Linked DNA regions of Caenorhabditis elegans. The protein of the gene in region 2 purifies or fractionates together with the protein of the main gene of each other region. This does not show direct contact. Each region holds a gene or a part of one and is shown on either strand. Other genes may lie near its edges.

Region 1 (5,244 bases), on a different chromosome or scaffold from region 2:
TGACCATACGCGATAACATCTGGAGATGAACTGGGGATGCCAACTGGCAAGCACAACACGACTTGCACAAGAGGAAGAGGTGAATATAGCGATGCTGTAAAAATTATGGTCCTCGATAAGAAGACGGCGTTTACAAAGAGAGTGACGCCAAGGAGGTGAACGTGTGGAAAGACGCACACCATATAACTGTCTCCTTTCCGCCTACCTCTTCTGCGAGAGTGACCCATCCGAGCACCTAAACAATTTCTGTCATTCATTCTATCTTGATTCATTTTTTGAAAAAAAATATAGAAAAACCAATTAGTTTGGCCTTTAAACGCAAAAATTTCAAAAATGACGTCACAGATTTGCGCGGGATTTTTTTTGAAAAAATCATAAAAAGTTTAGAAAATTAAAATGTTTTTAAATTCGGTATATTGGGACTGTATTCTGTCATTTAGGGCAAAAAAACCCACAGACGCTACTCCACCATTAAAAATTCCTTTAAAAAATTCAGAACTCTTCCCAAAAATTAGAAAAAATTTTGTTAAGAATTCTACAAATATTTTCAAATTTTCTGAAATTTTACACCTTTTCTTGACTTGACTATTATTATTGAAAATTCCTGGGCCTGCTTAAACTTTCATCAAGTTTCTCTAAATTAGTATTAACATTTCTCTAATCATTGACAATTTCCTGAAAGGTTTTTTGATTCTATAAAACATACCGCAATGCTTTTGAGATTTTTGTAATATCATCGAATAATTTTCAAATATTCCCTGAAATTTTTTGAAATGAATTGGAAATTGCGTTTTTGAAATTTTCTCAAATGGCTCTGAAATGCTTTCTGAACTTTTTTGAAATTGATTGGAAATGGCTGAATTTTTTGGAATTCTCTGAGATTTTAGCAAAATAAGCAAATTTATATCCAAAATTTTTTTTCTAGAAACATGTAGCAAATATGATATTTTTTGAACACATAAAAGCATTGGAAAAAGTAAAAAAATCAAAAATTATGAAAGAGTTGGGGTTTGATGAACTGACTCCACTTGAACTGTTGATGAAACAAGATTTGTGTTGCGAGCGTCGATGTAATCCAAATCTGGGCAGTCAATTGATAGGGGTGTTCTGGAAACAAAAAATGGATTCTGGAAGTTTGAAATTTGAAATTTAGAGCTGGAAATCGGAATTTACGTTAAAATTATCCCTAGACCACACTCGGCATCAAACGATATTGTCCATAAAATTTCAAAAAAAGTTTGTTTGAAATAATAAATTTTGACAAAAAAATCAATGTGATTTTGGATCCTAGGTTGCTACATAGTTTCTACAATCCCCCCTAACTATAATTTTCAAAATTTTCAGTGCAAAATGTCGTAAAATCAGGTGTCCCGGGTTACTACTGTACTTGATTTCCTAGAGTTTTGAACAAAGTTTTTGGAACTTAAGAGTTATATGTATTTTGCCACGCGGAGTTCGAATTTCTACTAAAATTTTGAGTATTCGAATTTTTTATAGTTTTCAGAAGTAAAAAATTATAAATTTCAATTCAAAAATACTCTACTGTAGTTTTGTGTCCGGGTTACTGTAGTTTGGTATTTCCCTACCAGACACCAAATTTCAAGTGGGTTTGCACTAAAATTCAGAAATTTTGGGAATAGGTGCAGTTTGTCACGTGGAATCAAAATTTCAAATCAGAATCCAAATATTTTGAAGTTGTCATACTTTTCAACTCTCAAAAGTTTTGAATATATTTTTAAAACTGAAAATTTTGAATTCAGCGCCCATAGATTGCCCTATAAACATAGCTTAAACACCAAAAAAAAAGTATGACCACAGTGCGGACTCGAACCCCGGTCTTCTGATTGGTGGTAATGGAAAATCCTACTGAGACATTTGGGCGAAATTTTGAAAAATTCTGAATTTGTGTAATTTTGGGTCTTTAATGCTATGGGAAAAATATTTCCAAAAAAGGAATTTTCAGTCTTTCAATCTCAATAACTTTTAACTTTGAGTTGAAATTCAATATACTCATTCTAAATCAGGGGTGCAAATTCGGCAAACCGGCAATTTTCCGGTTTGCCGATTTGCGGTCATATTAGGTATTAATATATTTAATTCTATGGGTAAAATATTTCTGAAAATTGAAATTTCAGCTTTTCACTCTTAATCATTTTTAAAATTGAGGCGAAATTCAAAATCCTCACTCTAAATTACCCCTATTCCCCAATTTTAAGGTTTTGGTCTTTTTTTTAATTTCGTGAAATCTAGTATTCTGGATTACTGTAGCTTGATATTTGAGTGCCATACATCAGATTTGACGAGATTTTGCACAAAATAAATTTTCAATTTTCGGTCTAATTTTAGCAATAAAAACTCACTTGTCTCTATGCTGAGTAACCATAACCTGTGGAATATTGCTCAATTTTCTTCGTTTTTCCTTTCGTCTGCAGCAACCACAACTCATTGTGCAGTACATCAAAATTAAGGCGATTAAGGCGAAAAATACGACTGTGGCCGAGAAAATAATGAGCACAAGGTTGAATTCGTCCACGTCCAGCCCATATTCTGGGTACATTGCTTGTGCTGGACTATAAAAAGGTTTTGTGGGCGAATTTGTGAAGAAAATTTTAAAAAGTAGAATAATTGGGATTTAATAGTAAGTTTAAAGAAATACAAAAAAAATTGTGAAAATTTCGATTTTTTTTCAATTTTTATCAACAAAAAAAAAGACTAAAATTAAAGCGTTCAATATTAGTTACAAAAAAAGTTAAAGCATACAAAATCACGAAAAATTCCAAGAATAATGTCTGTGACAATTTCCGGCATTTTCGAAATTTCGCTCAAATGGCTCAGTGGGATTTTCCAGAACTACAAAGCAGAAGACCGGGGTTCGAGTCCACACGGTGGTCGATTTTTTTTTCGTTGCTTGTTAGGTAATAAAAAGTGCTGAATCTGAATTTTAAAGGTTTAAAGCTCAAAAATTGTTAGAAATTGGGATTTCAGACATAGATAATAGCTTAAGTCTGAATCTTGTTAAAATTCGAAATTGTAGGTTTTTTTGCAATTTTTTTAAAATGAAATTTTTACCAAAAAGATTTTGAGCATGCAAAAAAAAATTGAAACTCAAATTTCAAAACTCTGGGAAAAATTGAAACAGCGGAAAAACCCCAAATTTCAAAAAAAATTTCACAAAAAAACGAAGAAAAGTTCCTCCAGTTTAACCTAATAAGATATTTCACCAAAAATGAGTTTGTTCTTCGCTCTTTTTTCGTTTTCTTCTTCCCCATCCAAAAATTTCACCAAAAAAAGAGTGCAAGTCAAAAATGTCATTCAAAGTTGTTTGCAAGAAGCAATTCCCATGAGGTTCAACTAAAAATGTACCGGATTTTACTTGGAACGCACTTGAAAGAAAAATAAAATCGGAAAAAATCAATATTTTTCAATAAAAATAAGTAATTTGGAAAATCTGACAAGCTCAAAGAGCTCAAAACTTGATGAAAATACTTCAAATTTCAAAAATTTGAATTGTATCGTCAAATTAGTCGGATGGCCCAATTTTCAAACGTTAGTGCAAAATTCTGTCAAAATCGGTGTTGGGTACGCAAACACCAAGCTACAGTAACCCAAGAAAATAGATTTGACCACATTTTCCATAGTAATCTTGAAATACTGCGGGCAGGGGTAATTTAGGGCAAGGGTGGGCGGCAAACGATTCCGGCAAATCGGCAAACTGCTGGAATTGCCGATTTGTCGAATTTGCCAGAAAAACGGGGAATGCCGGAAATTTTCTGCAAATTGTGGTTTTGCACATTTTTTTTGGGAATTTCAGATTTTTAATTATAATCGGGAAAAAATTAAAAAGGGCACAGGTTTAAGTGTTTTCGTCTTTTGAAAAAAAAATCCTCTAAACATTCCCCGCAAATCTGATATCCGGCAAACGACAAATTGGCAATTTGCCGGAATTGAAAACTTCCGACAAATCGGCAAACCGGAAAATTGCCGGTTTGCCGAATTCGCACCCCTGATTTAGCATGAGTATATTGAATTTCGACTCAAAGCTAAAAGTTATTGAGATTGAAAGGCTGAAATTTCCTTTTTTTGAAATGTTTTTTCCAATAGAATCAAAGGCCCAAAATTACACAAATTCAGCATTTTTCAAAATTTTGCCCGAATGGCTCAGTAGGATTTTCCACAACCACCAATCAAAAGACCGGGGTTCAAGTCCGCACTGTGGTCAAAGTTTTTTCTTGGTTTTTAAGCTACGTTCATAGGGCATAGGGTAATTGATGGGTCTAAATTCAAAATTTCAAGTTTCAAAGTTCAAAAATGACTTTAAAGTTCGATCTTGACCTCTTAAAATTTAGAAAAAAAAACAGTGGAAGAAAAGAATGGGGAAGAACATTTTGAAATTCTCAGATTACCGCAAACCTTTTTGCCGTCTCTCTGCGTGTGTGTGTATGCCGGCGGTAAGAGGTAAAAATGATCAGCACAAAAAGAGCAAACATTCTCGGGTTCTTCTTGTGCTCCGAGCCTCTTCCCACAACTTTTCCTATTTCTCTATCTCTGTAGTAAAGGTATCACACGGCAGATAGTGTGACAGATTGAGAGATCAAAAACTGGGCAACAGTTGGCTCCGGCTCGGTGAGAAAATCGAGAGAAAATCAGGAGAGATGTCGGCACCCACCTCGAATTTTTAATCACTTTTTTAGTGGTTTTACACATTGCAAAAGACGTGGAAAACTATGGGAAAATAAAAAGTTTTGATGCAAACTCGAACCCCGGTCTTGTGATAGGAAGTTTTGGAAAATCCCACTGAGCCATTCGAATAAAGATTTTCAAAAGTGATGAAAAACGATTTTTAATTGCTTGTAAGCTCAAAAAATTTTAGAATTTAAACTCAGCATCTCGCAATTACTTTACTAACCATTTCAAAACAATGAAAAAAAAGTTTCGACCACAGTGCGGACTCGAACCGCGGCCTTGTGATTGGAAGTTCTGAAAAATCCCACTGAGCCATTTACCCAAAATTTTCCGAAAATGCGTCAAAATTCCAAAAAATAGCGAAAAACTAGTTTACACATGTTTTCTAACTTTATAATTCGAACACAACACACTGAAATTGCCTTAGCCCTGCCGAGAAAAAATATTCCCCACAGCGCGGGCTCGAACCCCGGTATTCTGATTGGTAGTTCTGGAAAAACCCATTGCGCCATTCGGGCAAAAATTTGAAAAATGCTCAGACTTCACCGAAGTTGAATTCTT
Region 2 (7,601 bases):
GTGTATTCCTTTACTGACACGGTGATCTGAAAAGATGAACGTAGTGAAAGTAAAGATATATCATTAAGTTCTATTATCCCTTACGCTTTTTGCATCAGTGGTCGGTATTTGGAAAAAGAGAAGTGAAAAAAGAGCGAGTGATAAGGACAGTGACATATGGGCCTGAATGATAGACATGCGCCAAGTTTGAATAGGACACTAGCAGTGATTTTTCGGAATCGATGGGTCTCCCGGGGGTGGGCGGGCAAAGTAGGATATCAATGACCTTGTCAGGAGGAGGCAGCAGTAGTAGTAGAAGATTACAGAATGGTATAGTGGTAGACCACAGTGATTTGTGAAATCAGTATGCTGTATAGTTAAGATACAGTCACTTTATATCTGATAGTTGGTAGCAGACATACAGACTCTTATGACGCATGAAATAATGGGTGGGCCCCTAGAAGGACATTGTACTTTGAAAATTTAATTTCAATTTTATTCGACAATGCAAAGTATCAGGTTTTTGGTTTTTGGAATACCACTTTGCTGACCCTAACAAAAATGAGTGTAGGTGGACACATTATTCAAATCATGAGATCACCGGAAAACATCTTGAAAGTGCAGACACGTGTAAAATGAACAATAGTTTTGAAACTTTTTCTTAGTAATTTGGAATTGAAATTTTCTGAAAAAAAAATTTCGCAAATAATCTAAAAGTGTTGTCAAGCAGATAAATTGTTACGTGAACATTCTTAGTCATGATGATTTGAAACATTAATAGCATAATGCTTTAGTTCTCTCTATGTTTCTCTATCCTTCCCACACATACACAGCTTTTGAACTTTCATTCAATTATCCCATTGTAATAATTTATTAAAATCCCTTTGCACAAACAAAAATGATTATCATTCTGTGAAAAATGTGAAAATATGAATAGCAGGAAAATGACAGAAAAGAAGTAAAAAGAACCACTCAGGAAACATCAGACGGGAAGAAAAGTTAAAAATGAACAAGAAAAAATGTACTCGGACCTCTATTTGTAGGAAGAAAACTGTGATGGAAAATGAAACACCGGAAACTCGAAAAAAGAAAAAAAAACATTGAATCACTCACAAAAAAGCGGAAATTTAAATATTTTGAAATTTGAAAAAGTAACCGTGTTCTGACTCATTATTCCTTTTGCGTTTCATTTTCTTCCTAAAGAGTCTTAATAAATTAATCACCATTGTGGGAAGGAACTGTACAAAAGAGTGGCTGGCTCGTAGTTCAAGAAGGGATTTTGAATTAGTGGGATTGTAGTTGGAAGCATTGTAGGCATCATCAAGGATGACAAATCAATTGGGAGAGGATTTAATGCTTGATTAGGCTGCAAATTAAATACTGTGATTTTCAAAGCATTTGATAACTGATTATTTATTACCACTGCCTGAGTTCTTCCCCAGGAACATCTGACTTGATTTCCAGCCATCTCCTTTCCATTCATCTCCATTATTGCTTTTGTGGCACACTCTTTTTTCTCATATCTGACGAACGCGTACCTTTGGGTTTTGAAAATACGCACTTCCGCTATATCACCATATGTTGAGAATAAATCGCGGAGATCAGCGTCTATAAAAATATGTACATAGATATAACATATGGCAGTGATAGGATAAAAGGCAGAAAGTCATTTATCAAATTTCATGGGACGTTCTCACTGTCTACCAGGCGGAAGTGTCAAGCAGTAGGATGTGATGAGGAAAAATGATGATAGCCTCATATCCGTTAGAAAGTTTGTTAATGAGATAAAGACATGGAACTGGTTTACTCTGTTAATAAACTATGGGAAAGTTACCGAATAAGGCCATTCGAGAAATTGAAATGATCTTTTAATGGTTTTATGTTTTGTCAACAACTACAGTGTCTTAATTTGATTGTAAACATTAAAAAATGCCTGCAAAAATACCATTTTAACCAGTACAAGTAAAATGTATCAGATAGAGCATTAACTTTTTAAAACTATTGCTATTAATTTGTTCAAAGATGTATCATAGATGTGCATTGCGAAATTAGCAAAATTAAAATTACAACGCCTGTCAACTTACTTCTTAAAAATCAGTTTGTATTATCCAAATGCTCAATAACACTAGTTTACTTTAAAAAATTAAATTTCACGGAAAACCTATATCAAAAATATTAGTATGATTTGGAAAAATTCTAAAAAAAATAAACGTTTCAATTAAGTTTCCAATATTATTTGTCAAATAAAATTTATAACAATTATAAACTTCGATGTTTCACTGCGGAGTAGAGCCAATGGGGAAATTGCTTTGAAACATGCATATGGAACCACAATGACGAAATATTTCAGTAAAAGTATTTTTTTTAATTTGTAAAATTACTTTTTTCGTTTGATTGCGTAGTTTTCTATAAAAGTGCGTAGTTTTCTATAAAAGTGACTTAAAGCGATCGCGAACTGCCAATAAAAAATTTTCAAAACAATTTTTGGAAAGTTTTACTATTTTTTTGGCCATAATATTTGGCCATTTAGTCCCCATGGAACTGGTTTTTAGCAATTTACCCACTAGCGCTACTACAACTTTCACCATTGGTTACCGGAGCAGTATACGGTCTCTCTATTAATGCAAATTTCCCAATTCTTTAAATTTCAGAAGAAACTATAGATGTAATTCTAAAGATTGTTTTCTTTATTTCAAAAACTTAAACTCTATTTATTTCCTTTTTAATGACTGATATGAAGTACACTGTCTACCTATAACTAACCTGTAGTCTGTTGACTTATGTTCCCAACATAAACTGACGTGTTATCGGCTTTCGTTGAGTTGAACACCTGGAGCTGTCATGTTTTATTGAGATTTAACGTTACAACATCTCACCTGTTCAAAAGTCAGCTTGTCGCGATTCTCCTCGCTGTTTTTTCGTGCCGCCCAGTTGGTCCGCACAGCTCGTTTCCCAATCCATTTTCCGTTCATTCCGGCTATCGCGTTCTCTGCATTCTAAAAACAAGGCTCAGTTTTCTCGACGAAAATAAATAGGACCAATGGGCTTCGTAAAAAAAACAGAGAGAAACTAACTTGTTTGTTGGGAAATGACACAAATCCGTATCCTTTTGATTTCTGAGTCTGAACATCTCGAATCACTTTAGCTTCACTGAAAAAAATACTTCCGCGGTATAAATGTCAAGATTGGGTAAAAAATCTAACAATGGTTGGAGAATATTGCTTTCAGTTTTGCTCAATATTTTGTCATAAAATTTATTAAATTTCGGTTTGGGAATGATGATATTTTTTTGCCAAGTACGGTTTCGATATACTCTTTTAAAAATTTTTATGGAAAATTGCTAGTTACTCAAAAAAATAAGTTATGTAAGTTTTTTTAAATCCAAATGACGAGGGTGTTGTTTGTTTTTTGATTCGAACTCTTTTGTATAGTGTTAACGTGTTCAAGCAAAATTAAGTATTTTATCCTCAAATTTACCTGACTTCTCCGAATTTTGTAAACGTTGATTTTAAAAGCTCATTGCTCACGTCCTTGCTCAAATCCCCGACAAAAACATGAAAATGCTCTGAAAAGAAGCAAAGAAATGATATTGCATTGCTAATCTTCTTCTTTTTTAGTGCTGGCACGCATGGTTTCATTTCATCTCATCTTGGTCGTCAGTTTCATATTTTCCAATTCTTGACCACGGAACATAAAAAACGATAAAAAACGTGTGACTTTCAAGAAAAACGGTTAGCAGCTATGAGGCTAAACAACCTCGAATTGTCTGATAAGGGTGATAAGAACAACCAAAGAATACAATAACACCCAGAACGGTTTTGAAAAAAAAAAGTGAATCCGTCTGTGTGATTGATAAGGTCAATCAAATGACTTATCTTTATCTTCTTTTTTTGGTCTCATATTTTTTCACAGCTATTTTGACTTATGACCTGACACCAATACGGCGCCAGAAAAGTAATTGAAAAATAAAGATTGATAGGATCTTTGATTCAAACAAATTCATTTTTCACACTTTTCATCCAAATCTGCAAATCTACACTCACTGCTTGTATCAATTCGCATCTCCATCGGCGGCTCCGAGGCTGAGTGCAACACGGCTGATTCCTGCAACACAATTGCATTTGCCAAATGAGAATCCGTACTAGTTGAATGTATTTCGATCGGACAAAAAGATTGGCGCGAGAGGAAAGGGTAACTAAAGGGGGAAAGAAGGGTGCGAAATAAGCGGAAATGGGCAAATGAACAAACCAAAGAGTGTGGAAGACCGATGTGTGACAAAGAAGGAAGGCTGGCGGTCTGGAGAAGCAGAGGACATGTGTCCAAGGATTGAATCGACTGTGTCTGAACACAGGTATATGAATTATTGAGTTGCACAATATCCGATCAACCTACGTCTAATAAACCTGCCGGGAACTGCGAGTATAGGTTTTTCATAGGCATTTGTTGAGAGTAAAGCAAGGATGTCTGAGGAGTCGCAGTTGGTAAGCACATGAGTGCTTTCTGCAAGGACTGTTTTAAACATTTCTGTGTTTTGACAAAGTTCAATTTTTCAGAAAGAATCAATATGAAAGACTAATCTAGAAAGAATAATCTCAAAATTGCACGTGATTGCTTCTAAAAAATCGTTCGAAACATATCAGTTAACCTGTGAATTCAGACAATATGTAATAAAACTTAGTTTTGGGAAGCTTGTTTTAACTAAAAGTGTTGTTTTTTCTCTGCTTAACATTTGGAAAAGCAACAACTTAAATATTTCTGACAACTTGAGAAAATCAATTGTTGAACATACTTAACAACGTTCACGTCACTATTTCTACAGAAACCAGATGCATTATCCATTTGTATTTATTTAGAATTGTAAACCACCTTTCTTTTTTATGATTGATCAGATTGTGTTCCTTTTCTTTGCCAGGAAAATTACTGACGGGAATGTGGCAATTAAAAAATCTATTGCAAATTTGCATTACCTATTATGAGCAAAAAAAGGGAATAACAATTACATGGCTTATTACAAGCACATGCTAATGTTCTTGTACTGCCCTCGGTTTTAGTACCAACGAATTGCTTTCAATTTCTAAAAAGTCACCTACCTTCGCCTGCTGAGCCGAACCATATTCGGCTTCGTGTACGGAGATGAGGTCCTGTGATCGTTTCAGCTTGAATTGTGTACTAACACCACTGTGGTGTTCCAGGACTTGTTTAAATGTGAGAAGAATGCAAATGTTCCTGGAAAAACGCTGTGAATCGGATTAGCATTCCCATTGAAAAATAAGAGCAAAAACAGAGCCAAGAGATTTGTTTTCAAATCCCTCGCGAAACTAACAAGGTAACTAAACTGTGATAATGGATTATCGATAAATGGAAAAATGTGGCAAGGAATATAACCGGAAAATGAGTCAAAAAATAAAAAAGTAGAAGGAGGAAGAAGGTGCAATATTCATTTTTCATGGCCGAGCATCTTCTTGTAGCAGAGTGATGTGCTCCGCCTTGTCCCAAGGGGAATTGGGTGGAGAACTAATTAAGAAAGTCGAAAACAATAGAATATATTGAGGTGTAGACTATGTCGGAAACAAGAAAAATGCGAATAAGAGGATGGAAAGGAAGGGAAGGAAAAAATGTGCAACAAACTTGGGAGCTAAGACCGGACTCCACATTTAACCCATCCAGTGTTGTTTCTCACGATGGGCTCAAGAGCGGAACGTCGTTTCATTCTTGTGATTTTACCATCCATTCCCACCAGATTTGAGATTTACCGAGTGCCCACCCCTTGTGACCTCCTTTTATTCTTCTCATCTAGCTTGAGCACCTTTCCTTTCCTTTGACTTTTTTATACGTTGTCATTCTTCATGTAAGAGAGCTCAGGATTCTTCCATTTTCATTTTCCTATTCATCTAGTAGTAGTCCATTAGTCTCACTCGAAAAATGAGCAACGAATGCACTAGAGGGTTCGTGTGGCTGAATAGCGGTAATACGCAAAATGGAATAAACAAATGATATTTGAGAGAGGCATGGGCCCCATAAAAAAAGGCGGAAAATGTCTTCAACTGTGAGAATAGGGTCTCGCACCAAATCGAGACACCTAAATTCATAGATTCATGCATCTGAAAGAGCTTTTAGCAGAAGGCAAAAAAAATAGACAACGGTGGACACGAACAAAGAATGTTTTAATGCTTGTGAATAGGGAGGAATAGACAGTGTGCACGGAGTCAGCCGAGAGGAAATAAAAATGTTCCTTTTTTGAACAATAACAATCAGATTCGTATTGGAAAGGAAGACGAACAACAAATCGATACAACCACCAGTTTATTAGGTGAAGAACATTACAAATAGGAGAAAAAGAGTTTCACAGTGACAGACGTGAAGACCGTAATTTTTCGAATCGCTTAAGCTTAATAGTAGTTAAAAGCAGGTAGCTAAAAATGTTAGTCCATTGACTTTTTCAAAGATAAAAACTTTAGCGCAAATGAAGCACGTTTCTTGTTAATGTGTTTTCAGGATTAAAATGTTAAACAAGAATATCAACTTCAAAATCGATTTGTAATCAATAAAGTTTACAATTATAATATTTTATTCTTATATCAAAACTTCAGGAAATGATACTTCAAGATTGAAAATCCGCCTTGATGGCGTATTCCAAAAAGGGAATAGATTTTTGGGAAACGAGCGGCATTTTTGTCACGAAGATCAATGATTAAAAACAATAAGATGACTCAATCTGTAAACGACCAACATTTTCTGATTTGTATAAATTACATACAAACAAAAAAATTAATTATTAAAATTACTTGAATCAAATGTATCCTTAAATGGTTGAACATTCTGAAGCAGTATGTATTTGTGTACTATATCCTTAAATTTTGAAAAAAAAGTATGTTTCCATTTATACGTTAATTAAGCATTATTTGGAAACAAATCTTTTCAAAAAATTAAACTTCTAATTTAAAGAAGTCTTATCAATTTGAAAAAAAGGGTAAAACCAAATAGCAGAATGAGCAAGAGCAAACTGACCAGTTTACACCTTCAAATGTTTATTTTATTCAATCGCAAATATCAATCTGTATACCATGCAATGTGTTGATATAAACTATGGAAAAGTGTAAAAAAGGGAGAAGGCATGGCTCTTGATTAGTCAGTTTTCATAAATTGTTTTCTAAATTTATTGAAAAAGAGCATGTCCATTTTCTATATACTGTTCCCTAAGACTTTAAGTTTGATCGTTCGATCGTGGACTTGATCTAGTTTTTTATTGGTATTGGAATGAATTTATGATTAAACAAATGTGCATTAGGGAAACATAACTAAAAAGTAAAAGTCAAAAGACTCAATGGCCATTGGTAATTGAATATGAATTTTTCGGGGGTCAACAAATTAGAAGTCAAAGAGCTCTTCAGAATATTTTCTTCTACGAGCAAACCGGAAAAAACCCAGAAAAGGAAACGATGAAGAAAACAAAATGCAATGGGGGCAGAGTCAAAAAGGATGAGGTAATGAGAAAATGAATGAGAAAATGAAGATTTGGTTAGAAAAGGGTCAGAGGTAGAAAAACAAGGAATGAACGACAAAAGCTGGACCTCAGCTACAAAATGAAAACATTTTTAGACCGGCAGAAAAAAGGAAAGTGA

What was found.
Region 1: the proteins of rnp-9 (region 2) and F48F5.6 fractionate together in Caenorhabditis elegans (co-fractionation; one large-scale study listed by BioGRID). This does not show direct contact.

The regions. Positions count from the first base shown.
Region 1 is NC_003283.11:20,447,390-20,452,633, forward strand, and holds F48F5.6 (uncharacterized protein), read right to left. Parts: upstream 2,571-5,244; 5' UTR 2,558-2,570; coding exon 2,361-2,557; intron 1,108-2,360; coding exon 993-1,107; 3' UTR 886-992; downstream 1-885.
Region 2 is NC_003284.9:10,164,922-10,172,522, reverse strand, and holds rnp-9 (RRM domain-containing protein), read right to left. Parts: upstream 5,219-7,601; 5' UTR 5,070-5,218; intron 4,480-5,069; 5' UTR 4,471-4,479; coding exon 4,372-4,470; intron 4,321-4,371; coding exon 4,228-4,320; intron 4,084-4,227; coding exon 4,023-4,083; intron 3,545-4,022; coding exon 3,457-3,544; intron 3,130-3,456; coding exon 3,054-3,129; intron 2,976-3,053; coding exon 2,856-2,975; intron 2,810-2,855; coding exon 2,743-2,809; intron 1,588-2,742; coding exon 1,400-1,587; intron 1,346-1,399; coding exon 1,199-1,345; 3' UTR 830-1,198; downstream 1-829. Other genes in the region: C07A4.2 (SCP domain-containing protein), read right to left, coding at 1-26, 85-177.